Macaca fascicularis: one gene and its partner. The protein of the gene in region 2 purifies or fractionates together with the protein of the main gene of each other region. This does not show direct contact. Links are inferred from orthologs where the notes say so. Each region holds a gene or a part of one and is shown on either strand. Other genes may lie near its edges.

Evidence for each region.
Region 1: the proteins of DBF4B (region 2) and CDC7 purify together in Homo sapiens (affinity purification with mass spectrometry; 3 studies listed by BioGRID and IntAct, counting the BioPlex papers as one, with this or other methods). This does not show direct contact. The link is inferred for Macaca fascicularis from reciprocal best matches to the Homo sapiens genes DBF4B and CDC7.

What each region holds. Positions count from the first base shown.
Region 1 is NC_088375.1:142,924,772-142,929,021, reverse strand, and holds the start of CDC7 (cell division cycle 7-related protein kinase), read left to right. Parts: upstream 1-1,425; 5' UTR 1,426-1,434; coding exon 1,435-1,489; exon of another isoform or gene 1,490-1,560; intron 1,561-1,979; exon of another isoform or gene 1,980-2,298; coding exon 2,299-2,442; exon of another isoform or gene 2,443-2,963; coding exon of another isoform or gene 2,964-3,006; intron 3,007-4,250. UniProt on the Homo sapiens protein: Kinase involved in initiation of DNA replication. Phosphorylates critical substrates that regulate the G1/S phase transition and initiation of DNA replication, such as MCM proteins and CLASPIN.
Region 2 is NC_088390.1:65,793,933-65,797,745, reverse strand, and holds part of DBF4B (protein DBF4 homolog B), read right to left. Parts: intron 2,984-3,813; coding exon 2,867-2,983; intron 1-2,866. UniProt on the Homo sapiens protein: Regulatory subunit for CDC7 which activates its kinase activity thereby playing a central role in DNA replication and cell proliferation. Required for progression of S and M phases.

The DNA of each region.
Region 1 (4,250 bases), on a different chromosome or scaffold from region 2:
TACAGAGTGATCTTACTTTTGTCTTGATCTATCATGGTCAAACTCTGTCTTGTCTTGATGTTCTGTGAAATTGTTTATGTTCAACAGAAGAATAAAAATGCTTAGCTTTGATTGCCAGGCCAGCTCAAAGCAACGGCAAGCCAAGCTGGTAGTACCAGGCCATCTCCTGGATGTCACGGTCTGCTTTTCTCTTTCTCAGTATCCACACTAGAATTCTTGATTTACTCTCTTCCACCTCACTCAATCAAAACCCATTACCTCACAGACTTCCCTTCTATGTGGCACTACCACCCACACATATGCTAGCCCCAAAACCTCAGATTCACTCTTGATGATGCCCTTTTCTTAATTTTCCACAGCCAATCACCAAATCCCATTGTCTTCTTTCTTTTATTTCTTCCGCCATTGTTCTGGTCCAAACTATCATTATCTTTCTCCTAAACATGAAGTGCATCCTATTTCCTCTGCTTCCACATTTGCCCCTCTATAATCCATTCTCTTCATAACACATAGATCATATCACTCCCTTGCTTTAAAACTTTCAAATAGCTTCCTATTGTACTCAAAATAAAAGCCAAACTTCTTACCCTGGCTTTCAAGGACCACGGTCTGGCTTCTGCCTAACTCTCCACCCTCATCTATCTGGGACTATCTTGCCGCTCACTCACTATGCTTCCCCCACACTGGCCTTTCCTGCCCTGCCCCCGCAACATACCAAGTTCCTTTCTCTCTGCATTTGCCCTGTCCTTTCTTTGCCAGAACAATAGTCTCCCTGCCAGCTCTTTCTCATCCAGGTCTCTTTGAGAGGGCTTCCCTGACCATCTAGATGCCACCTTTCTAGGCACTATCACATCTTTTCATTTTATTTCCTTCAAGTAGTAATCAATACCGGAAAGAATACTGTTCATGTATTCATCCGTTATTGTCATCGCTTCATTGGAATTTAGCTTCCTACAGGGATGGTGTTTGTCTTGCTCACTATGATTTCAGCCCCTAGAAATCCGCCTACCTCAGAGCCAAGGACTCAGTAAACAGTACACACTGCCTTCCTGCCACTGTGCTAATTTCTACTAACACAGTCACAAATAATCAGCATTTTCTGCTTGTTTTTAACGGAAAGTAGGGCACTCAATGAAAAGGAAATAAAAGCAGAGTCAAGAAAGTGCCTTCTATCCATGGAGTACCCAAGTGTTGTGCGGCCACGGTATATAGGGATGTGTCAGCACCTGAGGTGTTTCCTTCTCTGAGCTAGTTTCTTTCCTGGAAATCATGTTGGGCCCTTAGCCTTATGGTTCACCCTGTTTTTTAAGATCATCCCGGGGTTTCATTCCCGTAACCGCTCTTCCAGCTGGCCAAGGGGGCGGGAAGAAACCCCACCCTCTTGCGCAAGCGCCCAGTAGCGGAATCCGCTGGGTCGAGGGCTTTAGTGTGCGCATGTGCAACGAGAGCTGCGGCGGGAAGTGTTGCGCAGGCGCATCCGATCCACTCGGTAGGTGGGGAGCTCTTGGAGACGGCGACCCAGGCATCTGGGGAGCCCCAGAAGTCGTACTCCCTTAAACCGTGAGTTTCAGACGGTTTGTTCCGTGGCGCGGGATTGTGAGGGATTAGGAACGAATTCTGGATGGTGACTTCGGTTTTCTCGCCGTGCAGTTCCTTTCCCCGCCCCCCTTCGGATCCCTCCGACCTGCGGCGGGAAAGTCGCGCGCCTGCGTACTAAGCATCTGGTTCGGTCTCTGGCCCGAGGGAAGCCGGTCTTTTCCGGCTGACCTCGCGGCCAGGGCTGGTCGGAGGATTCCCATTCATTAAGCCATCTCCTCCTCCGCCCAGTACTCGTAGCCAGGGTCGTATCAGTTCTCCATCAACTTGCGTGGGGCCTTGGACGAGCTTCCTGGCGCTCCCTGTCAGTGGCGAAACGGTTTTCTCCCTCTGTCCTTTTCCTGACTTCAAACCGCCCCTGGCGCTCGGCCCCTCCCCCACGCGGTCCCGCAGGCTACGCCGGACTCGCAGCCTCGCCGTTTCCCACTGCGCCGGCTGCTGCGCGGGTACCCAAGCCGGGAAATTCTCCCTGCAGCCCCCTGCCGGCGTTTCTGATAGGTGAAAATAAAGCACATGGAATTCCTTAGAAAAGGCCACAGTGTGCCCTACTGTGGAGGTTTGGACACATGGTGCATTTGAAAATGTTTGCCCCTTTGGGGGCAGTGGCATGTTTTTAGTGCGTGGTTTAGCGAGTGATCTAAACTTCTCCAGTGTTACAATTTTTACAGCTGCTTTGCTTTCCCTGTGGATGTAACCCCTTAGCTGGCATTTTGCATCCCAATTGTCTTGTGATGGAGGCGTCTTTGGGGATTCAAATGGATGAGCCAATGGCTTTTTCTCCCCAGCGTGACCGGTCTCAGGCTGAAGGCTCTCTAAAAAAAAACGAGCAGAATTTTAAACTTGCAGGTATGTGTTTAATTCCAAAGATGTACAGTTGCAGAGATTTTTCAGGCAACAATTCTGTGTTTTCAGTTGCTCTCAAAAAATAAGTAGATTGAATCTTAAAGTGAGTTGTGTGTTTCTATAGGACAGTGTTTTAAAACAGAGCTTCATATGATCTAAATGTAGGACTGAATTGCAATTTGGAAGACTGTAATACAACCCGTTTTACGGTTGAAGTTGTTATGGTCATCAATATTGGTAACTAAGAATGCAGAAATTTGATGATGCCCAAATTAAATTTCTCTTCTCTACCTGTGTTCTTGTCTCTACTCACCACATTGCCTTAAGCTTAAATTTAGAAATTGACACTGGAGATCATCACTTAAGTATTCAAAAGCAGAACTCACAGAGAAAAAAATATGAAATGTTTGTAGCAATAATAAAGCACCATATCTCAGTGTAGAGCATGAAATGTTGTTTGGCCATAAACCAGACCTTGGGGTGAAGAGGACAGGATCAAGCAGTGCGTGCTTTTGTACACTCGCATGTGTGCTTTCATTTCTGCTCTGGCACAGGACCTGGGACATAGTAGGTATTTATTAATAATAAATATTTGTTAAATAGAGGAATTCTAGTTGACTGTATTTGTTTTCCTGAAAGGGTAGCCAGATCTTTTCCATCTTTGTCTGAAGTGAATTCTGTGCTTGTCCAAAAGATACTTATTTTGACCTTTTGTCCATATATTCTTTATAACCCCACCCTAGAAAAATATGACATCACATACTTTCTGCTTTGATGGAAGTCATTTATCCCAGTTACCTAAACTTGAAACTTTAATCTTCAGCTGATGCTTTTTATTTGTTCCCCATATCGTCACCTAGCTTTATTTCTTTTTAATAGGTATGGCATTGTGTCTTCTTTCCATTCCCATTTCCACCACATTAATTCATTTCCTTACACTTTGTTCCTGATTTACAACAGTTTCTCACCTATGCTGCCTGCTTGCACTTTTCCATCCTTCAGTTCATCTGGTACGTTGGTGCTAGAATAATCTTAAAATGCCACTTTCATCCAGTTTCGTGGATACTGTTCCTCTTCCTTTCCATTTTTCCAGCAGTTAGCTGTTTTTTTAGTTCATCTTTCCCTTACTAGTCATTGGACACATAACACAGTAACACAGTCATTGTAGTATTCTTTTTCTATCGCTTAGGATTCTGCATTTTGTCTCCACTGTAAGCCCCTTGGTGGCAGTATCTCCTCTGGCTTCTGAAGTATGTTGTGACTTCAGCAGAGTATCTGAATGGATGACTCTGACTTGGTTCTGGCATCTTGTTTAGGAGAATGCCACTATTCTAATATTCTGAAAATCTGCTGGGAAGTAAAGAATGGGGTGAATTTTATTCCAGATTTCAAAAGTTTTGTAGCATTTATGTAACAGAATATTGGACATTATAAATAATACGATAAATTGTAAAACATGCTAAAACTTTACTATTGCAGCTCTTTTTAAAATATGATCCTTAATAACAGCTAAAATTATATAAACATAACTTCAATGGGGAGTAAAGCTGATGAGGTCCAGGCACGTAACAGTCTCGTAATCTAATTGGGAAAGTAAATCAAATTAGATCATAAGACAGGTATATCCCTGCACCTTATCAGCTTTACTCCTTATTGAAGTTATATTTTTGATTGGATGTTTTATATATCTTTGCATTCCCAGAGCTTAACAGTGTCCAGCACATAGTAGGTGCTTGAAAATATTTGAATGAATGATTTAATGTAAGGATATAAAGTAAAATACTTAGTGTAATGGATGAATAGCATGTCTC
Region 2 (3,813 bases):
TCCCCAAGTGCTGGGATTACAGGCGTGGTCTATCTTCAGAGATAGTTCATAGATACACAAGTACATATGTATCCTTCATTCCCTCTTCTTACATAAAGAATCATGGCTGGGTGCGGTGGCTCAAGCCTGTAATCCCAGCACTTTGGGAGGCCGAGACGGGCGGATCACGAGGTCAGGAGATCGAGACCATCCTGGCTAACACGGTGAAACCCCATCTCTACTAAAGAATACAAAAAAACTAGTTGGGCGAGGTGGTGGGCACCTGTAGTCCCTGCTACTCGGGAGGCCGAGGCAAGAGAATGGCGTAAACTTGGGAGGCGGAGCTTGCAGTGAGCCGAGATCCGGCCACTGCACTCCAGCCCGGGCGACAGAGCCAGATTCCGTCTCAAAAAAAAAAAAAAAAAAAAAAAAAAAAAATTCATATAGGCTGGGCATTGTCGCTCATTCCTGTAATCCCAGCACTTTGGGAGGCTAAGGTGGGTGGATCACGAGGTCAGGAGTTTGAGACCAGTTCGCCAACATGGTGAAACCCCATCTCTACTAAAAATACAAAAAATTAGCTGGGCGTGGTGGTGTGTGCCCTGTAATCCCAACCACTCGGGAAGCTGAGGGAGGAGAATTGTGTGAACCCGGGAGGTGGAGGTTGCAGTAAGCAGAGATCACCCCACTGCACACCTGCCTAGGCAACAAACAGTGAGAGACTCATTCTCAAAAAAAAAAAAAAAAAAAGAATCATATAGTATTGACTGTGCTGATAGTATTGACTGTGCTGGATGTTACTTGGTTTTTCTTTTCATGCTGCCCCAGGCTGCACTCTCCATTTGGCAGGGGTGAGGCACCACTCGGATCTCCTCCAGCCTCTACCCCTGGGAGGAAGGTTGCACCGGTGAGGGGATAGAACTGGAGGCTGGGTGTGGAATATAGACTTTTCACATTAAACCATTTGTAACACAAATTTTAAACTTTTTAAGTTTTAAAAATTTTAAACTTTAAAATAATGATTTCAAAAATGTAAAAATTTAAACACTTCTTCCTACACAGATTTTCCACACACATACACACACGTCTGGAACTTTGATGTCCTACCAGGGCCAACCCCCTGCCTAGGCTCCTCACATGCAGATACCAAAGCTTCATTGCTTCATCTTCCCTTTAAAGCCTCTTAGCTCCTCTGTGATCTCAAGGCCATCCCAGGCCTAGCATCACTACCAGCGCCAAGCCTGGGTCACCTTCTGACTGGCTCTCTCTGGTATCCCTTGTATTGGGACTTAACCTCACCTCTTTCTCTCCTTGCTCCCACTTCATCTACTGCCACATTCCCTTAAATTTTTCCCTCTTATTTGTACTATTTTCTGACCCACAGCCTTTGTCAGATGGAAACCACAGACCCTCCTTGGCCCCAGGAACTCTAGGGCTAAGAGTCTGCTCTATTCTTTCCTGGTCTATAACCCCATAGCCCAGAGGTTAGAAAGGGTCTGAGAAGGCATCTCACCCATCACCTGAGCTGAACTCCTTCTCTACTTTGGTTAATGAGGGTTCAAATTCTCAAACATCTGCACAGTAGACATATTAACAAGCCCACAAGCCATGAGTCACGTAATGCAGTGATCTTCTCTCCCGCCCTGCCCCTTAGTTATTCCTGACATTTGGCCCAACCAGTTTAAACTTTGATATTCACTAAAATCACCTGGGAGCTTGTAAAATACAGCTTTTGGGGCTCCATCATCAGAGATTTTGATTCTATAGATGTGGGGTGGAGTTCAGGACCCTGCATCAGGGTTTCACTCTGTCACCCAGGCTGGAGTGCAGTGGCACAACCATAGCTTACTGCAACCTTGCACTCCTGGGCTCAAATGATCGTCCTGCCTTAGCCATCTGAGTAGGTGGGACTACAGGCACTTGTCATCATGCTTGACTAATTTTTTTTTTTTTTTTGAGAACGGGTCTCACTCCATCGCCCAGGCTGGAGTGCAGTGGCACAATCTCAGCTCACTACAACCTCTGCCTGCTGGGTTCAAGCAATTCTCCTGCTTCAGCCTCCCGAGTAGCTGGGATTACAGGTGTGCGCCACCATGCCCAGCTAATTTTTTTTTTTTGGCATTTTTAGTAGAGATGGGGTTTCACCATATTGGCCAGGCTTGCCTCAAACTCCTGACCTCAAGTGATCCGCCCACCTTGTCCTCCCAAAGTGCTGGAATTACGGGCATGAGCCTCTCTGCCCGACTCATAATTTTTTACGTTTTTTTTTTTTTTTTTGTAGAGACAGGGTCTTGCTATGTTTGTGTGCCCAAGTTGGTTTCAAACTCCTGGCCTCACATGATCCTCCCACTTTGGCATCTTAAAGTGCTGAGATTACAGGTATCACCCGTTGTGCCCAGTTAGAACTTGCATTTTTAATGAGACCTCAGGGGACTCTGATGATGGTGGTCTATGAGTTTGAGAAAGCAGTCTATTGTCCTCTGTGTATACTCGGTAAACCCTGCCGAGCACACCATGTTCGGTTGCAATGGTCCATGCTCTGGGGGAAACAGTGCAGGCCAGGGGTTCTGGGTGGACAGGGTAAGAGTGCTGTGACTCAGCAGTGAATTAGGAAATAAGTCTTCTTGGACTCTTAAGGAGAAAGGGGTGCCCCTCACAACCCTGGCACCTCCCTTTCTTCTTCAAGTTAAATTCTTCAGTACGGATGAAGAACACAAAATAAAATGGATGAATGCTCCTAGTCTCTCTTCTCTGGGCTACATTCCCAGAATAGACTTTGCCTAAGGAGCAAACACATGGCCATTCCCAAATCTGACCAGCAGGCCCCCAATAGGGAGGACTTTGGCCTGTAACCAGCCCTTGGTACTCAGGAACCAGAAAGACCCACCTGGTATGGTGCCTGCTGCTCAGGGTCGTCAGGGCTTCAAAGGGACTTGCATCTTTGGGTCCAAGAAAAGAAATTTCAGGAAAGGATTTAAACTGATGATGGAAAGGACGAAACTTCCTGCAACAGAGAAAACTTCTACTTTGACTACAATGGGGAAGGTAAAGGCTGAGGAGGGGGCCTCGCCCAATGCCCTAGAATTCCAGCCCTGATAAAGTGGACTCTCACCTCCACATCTTTTAAATTCTGTAACAAAACTCATCAGCCTTTCTAGGTTAAATTAATATGCATGTTCTCCCTGTCTACTTTTCAAACTCATACCACTGCCTCCCTGAAATCCTATAAGCACCCTCTGGGTTTATCCTATATCTAAGGAAATGAAGCCCAAGAGGTTCTGTGACTTGCTCAAGGGCTCACAAATAGTTAAGCGGCCAAGGTCAGATCAGAAGCCACGTCTCCAGACTCCCGATCTACTTTTCCCCACCTTCCCATTTTGTTTCTTGACCCTACACAATCCTTGAGGACTCTAGCCTGGCAGATTCTAAATGGAAACATGTTTAAACCAGAACAGTTATTTCCCTGTTTTGTGAAGCGTTCTTGCTGGTCCTTAGAATCATCTGAGGGCTGGTGTTCTGAACAGAGAAGACAGGCACAGTGAAGGTTCTGGATAGTCAGACCTGGACTGAGTGGTTCTGGCAGTGTGCCTGAAGTTGCAAACATTCAAGAGACTTGCAGAGACAGAAGTGATCTGTGTATACTTCGCAAACCCTGCCGAGTGAGGTAACTGCTGGGCACACCATGTTTGGTTGCAATGGTCCATGCTCTGGGGTAAACAGTGCAGGCCAGGGGTTCTCAGGGAGCAGGGTAAGAGTGCTGTAGCTCAGCAGTAAATTAACAAAGAAGTCTTCCCGAACCCTTAAGGAGAAGGGGGTGCCCCTCACAACCCTGGC